2 linked regions of the Anolis sagrei genome follow. The protein of the gene in region 1 interacts with the protein of each later gene in a pairwise test. Links are inferred from orthologs where the notes say so. Each region holds a gene or a part of one and is shown in the gene's direction. Other genes may lie near its edges.

Region 1 (7,216 bases):
CATGCATTCATTTCATCATAAACCAACTGGTAACCCAAAGGCACATTCACATAACAGCAAGCCCCAGACTCTGGATTTGTATTATGCCTTCCTGGAACAGATGATTACGCCTTCAAAAAGGAGGGATATATCTAGTAATAATGAAAGATTCGAACTATCCTGATATTTTTGGATAACAGCTCCAACTAATCTCTCACCTGCTTTGCTAACAATTATATTATACAGAAGGTGGAAGAGGCAAGAAGGGGATCCTAACTAACAGTGAAGATGAGACTAATGGGATGGAAGTGCTAGGTTGCTTAGGCGGGACTGACCATGATCTCCTGGAGTCTGTTATCCAGTTCAAAGGGGAAATCCAAGCATAGTGAAACATTCATTTTAGACTTTTAAGAAAGCTGATTTCAGTAATCACTGGTAATAATCTTAGAGGATTCTTGGAGAGAAGGGGAAAAAGGAGGGCACAATAAATTACAGTCCAATCAGCCTGACATCAGTTCCAGGGAAGATTTTGGAAAAGAGCAATAGAATCAGGAAAACTAAAGGGAAAGAGATTCTATGTACATATCAGGAGACCACAGTAAGAGCTGTAAAACTTCTCTGGGGGTTTTAAGCATAAGCTAGGTGGCCATCTATCAGGAGTGCTTTGGGTCTATTATTGCATGGCAGAATGGGGTTGGACTAGATGACCTTGGGCTCTCTTCCAACTCTAGGGGCCCTTCCACACAGCCCTATATCCCAGAATATCGACAGAAAATCCCACAATATCTGCTTTGAACTGGGTTATCTGAGTCACACTCAGATAATGTGTGATTTTCTGCCTTGATATTCTGGGATAGAGTGCTGTGTGGCAGGGCCCTGAGTCTACACTGCCATATATCCAAGTTCAAAGCAAATAATGTGGGATTTTCTGCCTTGACATTCTGGATTATATGGCTGTGTGGAAGGGCCCTAGGAGTCTCTGAACATACCAGTGGAGGTTTCCATGTATCTGGTGGAGTTAATTGTAGTCCAAGAAAGCCCTCAGCTTTGTTTAGAGTCTCAGGCTCATCAGTCTGGGGAATAATGGCAGCTGCCTTTCAAACATAACTTCCATTTTTCTAATTGAGACTGCTTTCAGTGCAACAAATGAAAGCGCCTGCAAACTTGGGCTACTTCTGTTTAGTGAAACATTTATTTTGCTTGCAGCCACAAGCCCTCCTTTTTGGCTCAGGATATGGAATTGCCTCTTTGATATATTTTTTCTCACTTGGATCCACTTTTCTAATTCAAATTTAGCTGTTCAAGTGTTCCAAAACTCTGGAAGCATAACACTATATAATAAAATTTGAAACATTTCTGTTCCCGGTTTGAAAGTGTTCCTTCCTGTTTAATTGTATGGTCCTTACTTTGAAAGCAGTTGTCATATTATAGAAACTGTTTATGTGGCGGCGACAAACTATGTTGAATTGTTTGAGACTCTAGGACAGTGGTTCCCAATTTGTGGTCCGTGGACCACCAGTGGTCCACAATAATGCAAATATGGTCTGCAGCCTCACCATTACTACACTGTTGCCTCAAAACCACACAGCAACGAGAGCAACTGGTTTTGCGAAACCCTCTTATAGTGACGAGGCAACAATGATGTCGGGAGGGGAGAGACTGATTACCTACAAAAGATTACTACTACTACCACATCAGCACTACATTATTAAATATGGTTTTGTATAGGCAAGCAGATGGTGACTACTGGATAGCATATGTCCTGTAGCAGAAACTAGAGCTGATGTGGTCTATTCAATGCAATTTTCTGAAGCAGCACCTCAAATAACCAAACCAAATCTTTGTTGTTTATTTGTTCAGTTGCTTCCAACTCTTCGTGACCTCATGGACAAGCCCACGCCAGAGCTCCCTGTTGGACGTGGCCACCCCCCAGCTCCTTCAAGGTCAAGCCAATCCCTTCAAGGCCTATAGTGTGTTGATCTTAAGAACATTGGATTCGTCGTTCACCTCCAGCACCGTTGGCTGCTAGCCTTCCTTTTGGCTTTGAGTTAGCTGCGTCATCACATCTGGGGCTAGTTGAACTTAATCCTCTGCTCCTCCCCATCTTCCAACCTGGGAGTCCCATCTTTTGATGGCATACCGACATATCTCTAGTTGTACTGATCCATTTAGTTTTCATGGCAACAGTACTGGGGTGGGTTGCCATTACCTTCCCCAGGGATCGCATTTAGTCTGACCTCTCTGCCACGACCTTCCCGTCTTGGGTGTCCCTTTACAGTTTCGCTCGTGGCATCATTGAGGTGCTCAAGCCCCAGCACCACAACAAGACAATGCTTCTCTGCTGGAGCAAATTTAAATCTAAAGTTGACCAAAAACAATGTATTGTTGAAGACCAAAAACTAATTTGTAACCCTTTTGGTATTAATGTTGGGGAGTGGTCCTCTAAATGCACTTTACTATGGATCTAGGAGTGTCTGCACGCCCCATCCCTCTCTAAAAACTCTATCTAGCTCCTATTTCATCTTTTCATGCTCAGCATTATTTTTAAATTTTAATTATTACATTTGGCCCAGCCATAGGTTTTTAAACGTCCCTGTGTGGCTGTTAATGTTTATTGCTTATTTTTAATGAGTTTTTATTTTATTGTTTTGTATTGTTGTTTGTTATTGCTTTTATTATTGATGTATTGTGGGCTTGGCCTTATGTAAGCCGCACCGAGTCCCTTGGGAGATGGTAACGGAGTATAAATAAAGTTTCATATTTATTATTATTATTATTATTATTATTATTATTATTATTATTATTACTGGTCCCTGTTCAAGTGGCCCCTGGTCAAAAAATGATTGGGAACCAGTGCTGTAGGAGATGTTTTGCCCCCATACTGTACTTCCCCCTGCCTGTTTGAAGGCCTGTCTCCACTACTCCATTTCCAATGAGCTTCTCCCTCGCAAACATTTTTGTTCCATTTCTAACTAATCCTGAGTTATTATCATTTTATCTTGTACATGTGGCCCGCTTATTGTGATTTATCTCTCACTATATTTTTGCACTGTACTATTGTATTCTTATGTTTTATGTATTGCGATGTTTATTCTGTGCTTTTGGTTGTATTCTGTAGTAATGCACTACTGGGTTTGACCTCATGTAAGCTGCCCTGAGTCCCCTTTGGGGAGATGGTAGCGGGGTATAAATAAAATTCATCATCATCATCTTTTTTTTTTTATTAAATTTTCTGGATTTTCTCTTTATACAGTGAAAGAGTGGGAACAATGAAATGGATAGAAAGGGTGGGAAAATCGTCGTATGATGTGAGAGGGAGGTGAGATGGGGAAGGGGAGAGGGAGGAAGGTAATTGGGCGGTGAGGGAGGTGAGATGGGGAAGGGGAGAGGGAGGAAGGTAATTGGGCCCCCATCATCTTGAGCCCCCGGTGTCAGCGCAGTGGGTTAAACCCCTGTGCCGTCAGGACTGAAGACCAACAGGTCGCAGGTTCGAATCCAGGAAGAGGCGGATGAGCTCCCTCTGTCAGCTCCAGCTCCCCATGCGGGGACATGAGAGAAGCCTCCCACAAGGATGATAAAAACATCAAATCACCCAGGCATCCCCTGGGCAATGTCCTTGCAGACAGCCAATTCTCTCACACCAGAAGCGACTTGCAGTTTCTCAAGTCGCTCCTGACATGACCAAAAAAATCATCATCATTATTATTAATTGAAAACTATATCAAAATGTGTTGCAAGATGTCACGGCAAAAATAAAGTTTTGGCAGTTTAATCAACTTTTCCCATGTTTATTATAGCATTGAACCCATTAGGAAATGACATTTAAAATCGTGCCTCATTGTGTAATACACTGCAGAATAAAGGCTGCCTGAGCCCGCTTCAAGTCACAAAGGCTGAAGGCTGTGGGATCCTGAGATTTGTAGTTTGGGGAGGTCCCAGCGCTCTTTGGAAGAGAAAGGTTAAAGACCTTGTGGAAATGCCACTCCCATTATTCCATAGCATTGAGCCATGACCATTAGACTCTAAGTGTCTGGATGGGGTGCTCTTCTTGCCTTTGACCCCCATGCTCCCCCTCCTTTTCCCTCCTTTTCCTGTTGAGTCAGCCCCCTCCCCTCCTTCCCTCCAGGTCACGTGAGGAGCAGCGGAGGGGGAGCTCCGTCTCGCGGGGAGGGGGCGGTGACTCGGGAGGGGGGCGTGGCTTCAGGGGAGCGCGAGGAGGGGGCCGGCTATAAGAAGGCGAGGCGCTGGGGCTGGGCTCAGTCCTGCCCCTTTGGATCCTGCGGTGCTCTTGTTATTGGGTTGCTTTCCAGGAGCAGGAAGTGGCAAGGTAAAAAATAATAGTAAAAGAGGGAGGGGGTCCTTTTTTAACGCGGGAATCTAGATTTCTACAGAAAGGAGAAAGAAGAAATTGTTATTTAGACTCTTATGTCGCTTCCTTGGATTTGGCGCCTTCCCTGGAAGTTTGTCCAGCTGGACGGCCATCTGTCGGGAGTGTTTGGATGGTGGCAGAATTGGGTCGGGCTGGATGGCCCTTGGGGTTCCCTCCCAACTCCAGAATCCTTGGAGTGAGGCCGGAGTTCTATGTTGGGGCTTTCCCAGCCTTGATAGTGCTGGGGAAAGGGGAGAGAAGAGAGAAACTACAAGAAAGGAGATTACATCTGAACATGAGGAAGAACTTCCTGACTGTGAGAGTTGTTCAGCAGTGGAACTCTCTGCCCCGGAGTGTGGTAGAGGCTCCTCCTTTGGAAGCTTTTAACAGAGGCTGGATGGCCATCTGTCGGGGGTGCTCTGTATGTGATTTTCCTGCTTCTTGGAAAGGAGTTGGACTGGATGGCCCATGAGGTCTCTTCCAATTCTGTGATTCTAAAGTGGGTTCTCTTGTGCCACGTTGTTAAACAGAGGTGGGATGGCCATCTGTCGGGGGTGCTTTGAATGCAATTTTCCTGCTTCTTGGCAGGGGGTTGGACTGGATGGCCCAGGAGGTCTCTTCCAACTCTTAAGATTCTGTGATTCTAAAGTGGGTTCTCTTGTGCCATGTTGTTAAACAGAGGCAGGACGGCCATCTGCTGGGGATGCTTTGATTGTGCTTTCCCTTCGGAGTTGGACTAGATGGCCCTTATGGTCTCTTCCAACTTTCAAGAACTCTGGCTGCATCTACACCAGACATGGGCCAACTTGGGTCCTCCCTCCAGGTGCTTTGGACTTCAATTCCCACAATCCCTAACAGCCTCAGGCCCTTTCCTTTCCCCCCTCAGCCGCTTAGGACCCAAGTTGGCCCATGTCTGATCTACACTGTAGAATTGATGCACTTTGATAATAATGGTAATAATAATATTTATACCCCCCTTTATTTATATGCCACTTTCATGCTATTTGAACCCTGGGAGTTACACTTTGGTGAGTTATACTTTGGCAGAGAAGACGGAAAAAAACCCTTGTCAAACTCCTGTGATTGCGTAGCAGTGATATCAAAGTGTGTTAATTCTACAGTGTGGCCACCCCTGACTGTTTGCGTGGGAGTAGGGAAACTGGAAAATTCCGCCTTGGTGGAGAGAGTGTGTCCCTTGTATCTGAATCTCCCCCAACTTCCTCCTGGCAATCTCTTTCTGATACATATGTATCCTGAAAGGATTTACATGAAACCCAGCCCTTGAGGAAACCGGGCCCAGGTTTACTGGAATCCCTACTCTTCCTCTCCTCCCGCTTTCTGCCTCAGGCTGTCTCCTCCAAGTTTCCTGTTTTTCCTTTTCCCAGCCTCCATGATAGGCTTCAAAACGCCCATCTTCTTTTCCCAGCTTCCCTTTCCTTCCTCCTTCGGCGAGGCTTGAACTCTTAACGCCACTTCTGTTCTGTTTTTTCCCTCCTCACAGGGACGAATAAGGCAAAATGGGCGTCGAAGGCGGCATGAAGTGTGTGAAGTTCCTGGTCTTCTTCTTCAATTTCATATTCTGGGTAAGTCAGTGGAAGTAGGGGAGGAGGGAGAGGTTATGGGGCTTGTTTTGTCCTCCTTTCCTCCCTCCGCCATCAAAAGCTCTGGGCTGGGTTTGCTTGGCCTCTTCAGCAGCCAAGGCGCTTTGTTCCACTTTGGGCAATTAACCTTTAAAGGCTGAATTAACTCCGAGTTGTTGCTCCGTTTCCTTGATGGCTTTCCTTCTTTTCTCTATAAGTGCTAGTAGTAAGTTCCCATCACAAGAGCTGTGCATCCTTAGCTGTGTTATAATCCTTTGGGACTCCTACATACGTACATAATAAATGTGCTTCTCATCGTACTTTAAATCTCTTAAGTACCATCATTTATCTGCTGGAGAATTCTAGGCATCCAGCTTTGGAGATGCATATGTCTTTGTACTAAAAGTGATGCCAAAATACTTTGCATACTTGATTTTTAAAAAAGGTAATAATTTCCCCCTGTTCTGCTATGATGTGGGATGAGTTTACCTTTGAATCAAAAACAACTCGATGATTATCAAATTTCTCCCTTTAGGGTTCAGCACAAAGACAACAATGAACTTCATTTGCCTTTCGAGGATGTTTTGTATGTGTCTTCAGGTCACTTGTCAACTGGTGACCCCATGAATTTTGTGAGGTTTTTTTTAGGCAGGGAATACTCAATGGCAGTTTGGCCAGTTCCTTCCTCTGAGGGCCCTTCCATACAGACCCTATATCCCAGGATCTGATCCCAGTTTTTCTGTTTATCCCAGATTATCTGGCAGTGTGGACTCATATAATCCAGTTTAAAGCAGAAAACTTGGTATCAGATCCTGGGATATAGGGCCTATCTGGAAGGACCCTGAGGCTGGATCTACACTGTCCTGTATCCCAGGATCTGCTCCCAAATTATCTGGCAGTATAAACTCATATAATCCAGTTTAAAGCAGAAAATCTAGGATCAGATCCTGGGATATAGAACCTGTCTAGAAGGGCCTTTGAGGCTAGATCTACACTGCCCTAAATCCCAGGATCTGATCCCAGATTATCTGTTTTGAACTGGATTATATGAGTCTACACTGCCAGATAATCTGGGATCAGATCCTGGGATATAGGGCCTGTGGAAGGGCCTTGAGGCTGGATCTACACTGCCCTATATCCCAGGAGCCCCCGGTGGCACAGTGGGTTAAACCCCTGTGCTGGCAGGACTGAAGGCTGACCGGTCACAGGTTCGAATCTGGGGAGAGCGCGGATGAGCTCCCTCTATCAGCTCCAGCTCCTCGTGGGGACATGAAAGAAGCCTCCCACA
Region 2 (7,925 bases), about 48 Mb from region 1:
AACCACAATTTATTTCTGGGAAGGAATGAGGCAGAAACCTGGATGGGAGCTTTTTCCAGGTGTGGTAGCTCTATCTGCCACCTTGTGGCATGCCCTGTTAAATTTAGCTAGACACAACTTCGAAGTCAGTCTTCCAACAAGCACAAGTTTCATTTTTCTTCCATTGAGGTTCCAATTTTCTCCCTAAATTCTTCTGGAAATTGTGACACCTGCTGCTGCCCTTTCCCTTTCCTCCAGCATCCTGCCTGCATCTCTATTGCTTGAGTTGGATTAATCAGTCAGCACACACCCCATCCTGGCATGGCTTGACTCTGGACTTGAAACCACAGGCTGGGGCTATTCCGCCCCTTTGGCAGTCAGGACAGGAAAAGTACGGGGAGACAAAGGGGAAGTGGGGTAATATTTAAGTACAAGACAAAAGGGCTGGGAAACGCAGTGTGAAGTGGCAGAGGACACCTAAAGAGACTCGCAGAGATCAAGGTGAGATGGGAGCTCTAACTCCTTTTTTTGCAGCACTCTGAGCCTTATCCCAATCCTGCCTCCTATCCTGTAGGCCAGCGGTTCCCAGCCTTTGGTCCTCCAGGTGTTTTGGACTTCAACTACTAGAAATCCCAGCCAGCTTACCAACTGTTAGGAACTGTGGGAGCTGAAGTCCAAAACAACCTGGGAATCACTGCTATAGGGAACTCACTGTAACCCCTAAACTGATCCCCTCTATTTAGATTGCCAATCCAGGGAAATATCCTCAGGAGCTCCACCAAACTCTTGCCTCCTTGTTGCATTTCCCTTGTCTTGGTCTTCTTATTCACTCCTCTCTTTTGCATTGCAAATTCTGGTATAGCTCTGAGTTCAGAAGGTGCACCCTCTCATATTGCAGTCCACTCATCTCTATATCCTGTTCTCCTCTACTTCTCAAACTCAGTCCTGCCCTCCATTGCCTGCCACAGAATCAGGAAAATACAGTGATTTGTTCCTTTGGGAGTCAAGATCTACCTTGCTCTTGGCTGCTCAAAATAGAGCCATTCATCACTCCCCTAATCCTGCACCCCTGCAGCAGTTCTGTGCAGGGTGTTTCCCCACCCCTTCCTTCCAACTTCCCTCTCCTGAAATAACACTACCTTCTCCACTCCCCCAGTCACACCACTGAGTCACATTCCTCCTCGTTTTTTCAGCAAAAAAACAGGACGAAAGAAAGAGGATGGACCTGGCTAAAGCAAGTAAATTCCTGGTTGCCAGCTTACTCCTCTTCACTCTGGTTGCAAGATACCACTGAGGCCTGCAAATGTGCCTCCGAGTACCCCCAGGAAGCATTCTGCTCCTATGATGTCGGTGAGTCTGTCTGCAGTCTTTTACTTCTCCTTCCATGGAAACTTGCCTTCTGCTATGAAACCTGGTGCTCCCCGTTCTCTTGATTCTTTTTTCTGTATTCTCAAATGCTCTCACGCTCCATGCTCAGTCTGCCAACAGCCACTTCTTTGACTGTCTTATGGTAAGTAGGTTGCAGACCACATACAAAAGGACTCTATAGGTATGTGAAGCCATGAAACTGGCATCTTCTGCACCTGAGGGCTGCTCCACTTAGTGGGAAGAGTTAGTAGCAGAATCATAGAGTTGGATAGGACCACAAGTGACATCTAATCCAGTCCCCTGCCCACAGGAACCCACAACTACAACATCCCTAAAAGATGTCCATCCAATGCCTGGTTAGAAATTTCAAACATGGCAATCCCCCCCCCCCCTACCCCAGGAGAGTATATGCCATTGTTGGAATGCGGAATTTCTTTTTTAGTAATTTAAATCCACTGTCTTAGGGCCCTTACACACAGCACAAAAGAAACAGAAGAGAACAGGTTAAAGAGGGCAAGTGTCTAGATGACGTTTCCAGTAAATCTGCACTGAATTGGAACAATGCAGCCAAAACACAGGCTAAAGAACTCCTCTTTTATCCTGGGTCTGGTTGCAAACTGCACATTTTTATATGACTGTCTATCCCTACAGTCAAGCAAAATGTGATATCCCCCCCCCCCTCCATGGAGATGGCAGATCCCAAAACAGCTGAATTATTTTGTGTTGTCAAAGGCTTTCATGGCCAGAATCACTGGGTTTCTGTGAGTTTTCCAGGCTGTATGGCCATGTTCCAGAAGCATTCTCTCCTGATGTTTCACCCACATCTATGGCAGGCATCCTCAGAGGTTGTGAGGTATGTTGGAAACTAGGCAAATGAGGTTTATATATCTGTGGAATGTCCAGGGTGGGAGAAAGAACTCTTGTCTTTTGGAGACAAGTGTGAATGTTGCAATTAGCCACCTTGATTAGCATTGCAGGTTCAACTTCCTGCCTGAGGGGAGCCTTTGTTGGGGGGGATGGTGTTATCTTGCCCTGATTGTTTCTTGTTTTGAATTCCCAAATTTTTGACTGCCAACAAGATGGAGGGGACCCTCTTAGAAAGAAGTTGAATGTACCATGAGATCAAAACCACCAAGGTAAGCATTTTCTCCTGTTATCAAAGTTCTCCTGTTAAATCTCTGATCAGCCATGAAAAGTCACTGCCTGACCTTTGAGGAAGTCACACTCTCTCGGTTTCTGAAGAAGACAAATTCTGCAAAGAAATCCCCATCAAATGTGCTTCTCAGGGTTACCGAAAGTAAAAAAAATGACTTAACATAACACAACAAATATACCTCTAAAAGGTAAACAGAACCTTTGGTTCTCCCAACTAGATAATAATAATAATAATAATAATAATAATAATAATAATAATAACACTTTATTTGTACTCTGCCATCATCTCCCTAAGGGACTCGGTGCGGCTTACATGAGGCCGAGGCCGAGTACAACAATACAAGCAAAACAACAACAGTACAAGCAATTAAAATAAAAACATAGACAATAAAATATACAACATTATCAATAAGACAACACACAATTAAAAACAGTGGGAAGGCCAAATGTAAAGTTAAAATGGAAATAATGCTGGGACATGGACAAAAGGTGATAGTGGCGTTTGTAAGGGCATACGAGCAGATCTAAAAAAAGTAAAGTTCTTTGGAGGACAAAGTGCTATGAGATCATTATTCTGGGAAGGCACACTGGAACAACCACATCTTCAAGCTCCTCCTAAAGACTGCCAAGGTTGGGGCCTGTCTGATGTCTTTAGGGAGTGAGTTCCAGAGTCAAGGGGCCACCACTGAAAAGGCCCTCTCTCTCATCCCCACCAACCGCGCCTGCGATGCTGGTGGGATTGAGAGCAGGGCCTCCCCGGATGATCGAAGGGATCGTGTGGGTTCGTATACAGAGATGCGGTCACGCAGGTAGGCGGGTCCCAAACCGTTCAGGGCTTTGTAGGTAAGAACCTGCACCTTGAATTGGGTCCGGTAAATGAATGGCAGCCAGTGGAGCTCCTTGAACAGGAGGGTTGACCGCTCCCTGTAAGGCACCCCAGTTAACAACCTGGCTGCCGCCCATTGGATCATCTGAAATTTCTGGACCATTTTCAAGGGCAGCCCCACATAGAGTGCATTGCAGTAATCCAGTCTAGAGGTGACTAAGGCACGGACCACTTTGGCCAGTTCACATTATAATTCTTATCAATTCTCATCAGGTTGCTGTATGTTTTTCAGGCTGTATGGCCATGTTCTGGAAACATTATCTCCTGATGTTTTGCCTGCATCTATGGCAGGCATCCTTAGAGTTTGTAAGATCTGTTGGAAACTAAGAAAATGGGATTTATATATCTGTGGAATGTCCAGGGTGGGAGAAAGAACTCTTGTCTGTTGGAGCTAGGTGTGAATGTTTCAATTAGCCACCTTGATTAGCATTTAATGCCCTAGCAGTTTTCAATGTGTGACTTCTTACTGCCTGGGGGAATCCTTTGCTGAGAGGTGATTAGCTGTCCCTGACTGTCTCTTGTCTGGAGTCCCTGTTTTTACTGTTATGATTTTAGAGTTTATAAATACTGGTTGCCAGATTTTGTTCATTTTCATAGTTTCTCGCTTTCTGTTAAAATTGTCCACATGGTTGTGGATTTCAATGGCTTCTCTGTGTAGTCTGACATGAGGTTGTTTGAGTGGTCCAGGATTTCTATGTTCTCAAATAATATGCTGTATTCAGGTTGGCTCATCAAGTGCTCTGCTATGGCTGACTTCTCTGGTTGAGTTAGCCTGAAGTGCCTTTCATGTTTCTTGATTCATGTCTGGACAATGCTGTGTTTGTGGTCCCTATGTAGACTTCTCCACATCTGCATGGTATACAGTAGACTCCTCCAGAGGTGAGGGGATCCCTCTTGCCTTTTGTTGAACATAGCTCTGATGTCATGACAAATTACAAATGACAAACTAAAGTGGCATCAGAGTGCTATCATTCTGCAGGATGGATAATTTTTTGTGAGAATAGAAAATTTGTATCTTCAATCCAGTGTATGTGGGGGAGTGGGAGTATGTCAATTTCTGTATTTTTGCATTTTATTAAAAACACTGGTAGAACAGAGAAGACTTTAAGGTGAATCTGAGCACCAAAAAACAGGGATAAAGGATAAAATTAACATCATGGAGATCTTGTAAAACAAACCAACCATAATCTATTTCTGGGAAGGGGTTAAGCAGAAACATGAATGGAAGTGTTCTCCAGATGTGGCTAGCTCTATGATGCCACCTTGTGGCATGCCCTGTTAAATCTAGATGGAGCCTTCTTCAAAGTCCATCTCCTCAACAAGCACAAGTATTACTTTTCTTCCACTGAGGAATTTGTAATTTCCTCTAAATCCTTTAGCGAATGGTGAAACCTACTGCTGCTGGTCCCACCCCACAACTGTCCTTTGCCTCCTCTCCAGCATCCTGACACCATCTCTATCACTTAAGTCGTATTAATCAGTCAGCACACACCCCATCCTGGCATGAGTTGACTCTGGACTTGAAACCACAGGCTGGGGCTGTCCCGCCCCTTTGGCAGTCTGGACAGGAAAAGCAGGGGGAGACAAGGGGGAAGCAGGGTGATATTTAAGTATGAGCCAGAAGGGCTGGGAGACGCAGTCTGAAGTGGCAGAAGACGCTGAAAGAGACTGACAGAGATCAAGGTAAGATGAACTCTTCTTTTGCAGCACTCCGAGCCTTCCCCTCCTACTTTATAGGGAACCCACTATAACCCCTAAACTGGTCCCCTCCCTTTAGATTGCAACTCTTTTTACCAGGAAATATCCCAAGGATCTCTACGAATCTCTTGTCTCCTTGTTGTGCCTCCCTGACCTTGCTCTTTTTATTCCTCCTCTCTTTTGCATTGCCACAGACGCACCTCACATTGGAAATTCTGGTTTAGTTTTGTCATTTTGCTTCCCTTGGCTCCCTTGCCTCCTGCTAAAGCTTCTCATATCCAACCCACTATCCTAGTGGGATTGAGGGCATCCTAAAGAAACAGAAAGTCGCTATGAAGTTCAGACTCCAGAAGGGACACCCGCTCATATTGCAATCTACTCCTCTCTTCATCCTGTTTCTTTTTTTTCAAACTCAGTCCAGCCCTCCATTGCCTATCACAGAACCAGGACACAGAGGAGCTTTGTTCCTCTGGGAGTGCAGATCTCCTTTGCTCCCTGTTACTCAAAATATAGCCATCAATTGATCTCCTCATCCTGTACCTATGTGGGCAGCCCTGTGTGGGATGTTTCCACATCCCTTTCTTCCAACTCCCTTTTCTGAAATAACTCTACTTTCTCCACTCTCCAAGTCAAGCTACTGACTCACATTCTTCCTCATTCTCTTAATAAAAAGAAAAAAAGGAAAATGAACATGGCTAAAGTAAACGGATTCCTGGCTGCCAGCTTCCTCCTCCTCGCTCTGCGAGGAGATACCACTGAGGCCTGCTCCTGCGCTCCCCGGCACCCCCAGTCGGCATTCTGCTCCGCTGATATTGGTGAGTCTCCGGAACCCAGTAGCATCAAAGAGCTTTCTCTCTGCAGTCTCTCACCTCTCCCTCCATGGAAACTTGCCTTCTGCTATGAAACCTGATGCTCCCCGTTCTCTGGATTCTTTTTCTGTATCCTCAAATACAGTGCATGCTCTTATGCTCCATGCTCAATCTGTAAACAGCCACTTGCTTGGTTACCTTGTGGTACATAGTTTGCAAGCCAGATACAGAAGGGCTGTATAGATGTGCATCTGTGGTATGAAGAGGGGAAAGAACTAGGTGTTTTATGACTATGGGGCAAATGAAAGGCAGGAGAAATTAAAACCAAGAGGGACTGTTTACAAGAAAGGAGATTTTGGCAAAACATTTGGAATAATTTATTGGAGGTACAACTGTAGCAAAGTAAAAGAGCTTTCCCAGTAAGGTGGCAGACTTCCCAGGTTTTCAAACAGAGGCCACATCTCAGGTTGCTTTACTGAAACATTTCCTCCATCAATAGGAAGTTAGGTACCTTCCAACTCACGAATTCTAGGATCTGGGTGAGCATCCACTTTTTTTTTTAAGATGGATATTTCTGGGGGCCTGTCCATACCCACCCCAGAAAGCGCATGCTTTCTGGGATGGGTTGTCGACACATTCTCTCGGGATTAGCCCGAGAGAATGTGTGGAGGGTTTTCCTGTTTTGTAGCGAATTAATGCGGGAATGTCCTGAACATTGTCTGGACAGCCCATCTTTATTGCAGGAGTTCCCTCAATAAAGGCCCTGTCGGGAGGGGCCCACACAGTCTATGAGCTGCATGCGGTCCCTTCATCCATTTTATATCAGCAAAATGTGAATTAACTATTCAAACTTAAACAAGAGTTGCAACTTGTTGGGTTTTTTTGAAGTCATTATAAAAGCTGGGTTGTTGTAGGTTTTTTCGGGCTATATGGCCATGTTCTAGAGGCATTATCTCCTGATGTTTCGCCTGCATCTATGGCAAGCATCCTCAGAGGTAGTGAGGTCATTATAAAAGCTTTACTCAGATCACTTCTTAAGTAACAATGCCTACAGCCAGAGAAATATCTATCATTTCAGTGTGCCCATTGCAATTGAAATATAAGTTTCCAGTGCTTTTCATGGCAGGACACTTGTGTCTTTGTTATCTGCCTGAGTACAGAGAAAGATGGAAGTTGATTTCTTTCCTCTATAACTTTATCACCATGTTGGAAAAAGGTTTTCTTGCTGAATTTCTGCAAGTCTGGCATCCAGACAAAAAAAGAGGCAGTTGGCAGTACAAATGGAAACTTGCTCATGTCTTATGGTATGCTGAGGTTTTATTCACTCTGGTCATTTGTGGAAATATTTCAATTCCTGAAACATTCCCTTAAAAGTGCTTTAAAATCAGTTTTGCGCCAGGAAAAAAAGCTTTCTCAATCACTTCCAGGACTGCCCTCTGATAGACTATATGATATATAGCTATATTCCTTTTGTCATAGCCCTAAATACAGCTAAACGTTGCATTCTGAAAGTTTCCAAAGTCCAATAGTTGAAAAGGTAACTAAATGGAATCTAGGCAAAACAGATACTGTTGATTCGCACATTTGATTCTGATTAGCCAAAATTGTCAATGCTAGTTCGCTTTCAGATTTATATTTACTTTTTTGGCCCTCTTTTATTTTATTATTTTGAGGCTCTGGTGGCACAATGGGTTAAACCCTCGTGCCGGCTGAACTGGTTGACTGAAAGGTTGGGCGGTTCGAATCTTGGAGGCAGGGAAAGCTCTTGTCTGTCGAGCTCTAGCTTCCCATGCAGAGACATGAGATAAGCCTCTCACAGGACGGTAAAACATAAATCATCTGTCTCGGCAACATCCTTGCAGATGGCCAATTCTCTCACAACAGAAGTGACTTGCAGTTTCTCAAGTCACTCCTGACACGATAAAAATAATTGTTCAAAAATGTCAAATTCTTAAAAATGTAAGTCTTCTTTCATTGAGAGGGAGTGCCTCAGAGAATATGATCTTGCTTCACACTAAAATAAACAATAG

The links.
Region 2: the proteins of CD63 (region 1) and metalloproteinase inhibitor 1-like interact in binary tests that used the Homo sapiens proteins (3 or more experiments, as listed by UniProt). The link is inferred for Anolis sagrei from reciprocal best matches to the Homo sapiens genes CD63 and TIMP1.

Annotation. Positions count from the first base shown.
Region 1 is NC_090022.1:145,171,346-145,178,561, forward strand, and holds the start of CD63 (CD63 antigen), read left to right. Parts: upstream 1-4,201; 5' UTR 4,202-4,306; intron 4,307-5,849; 5' UTR 5,850-5,865; coding exon 5,866-5,931; intron 5,932-7,216. UniProt on the Homo sapiens protein: Functions as a cell surface receptor for TIMP1 and plays a role in the activation of cellular signaling cascades. Plays a role in the activation of ITGB1 and integrin signaling, leading to the activation of AKT, FAK/PTK2 and MAP kinases.
Region 2 is NC_090022.1:192,811,029-192,818,953, forward strand, and holds the start of metalloproteinase inhibitor 1-like, read left to right. Parts: upstream 1-4,865; 5' UTR 4,866-5,071; intron 5,072-5,759; 5' UTR 5,760-5,771; coding exon 5,772-5,901; intron 5,902-7,925. UniProt on the Homo sapiens protein: Metalloproteinase inhibitor that functions by forming one to one complexes with target metalloproteinases, such as collagenases, and irreversibly inactivates them by binding to their catalytic zinc cofactor.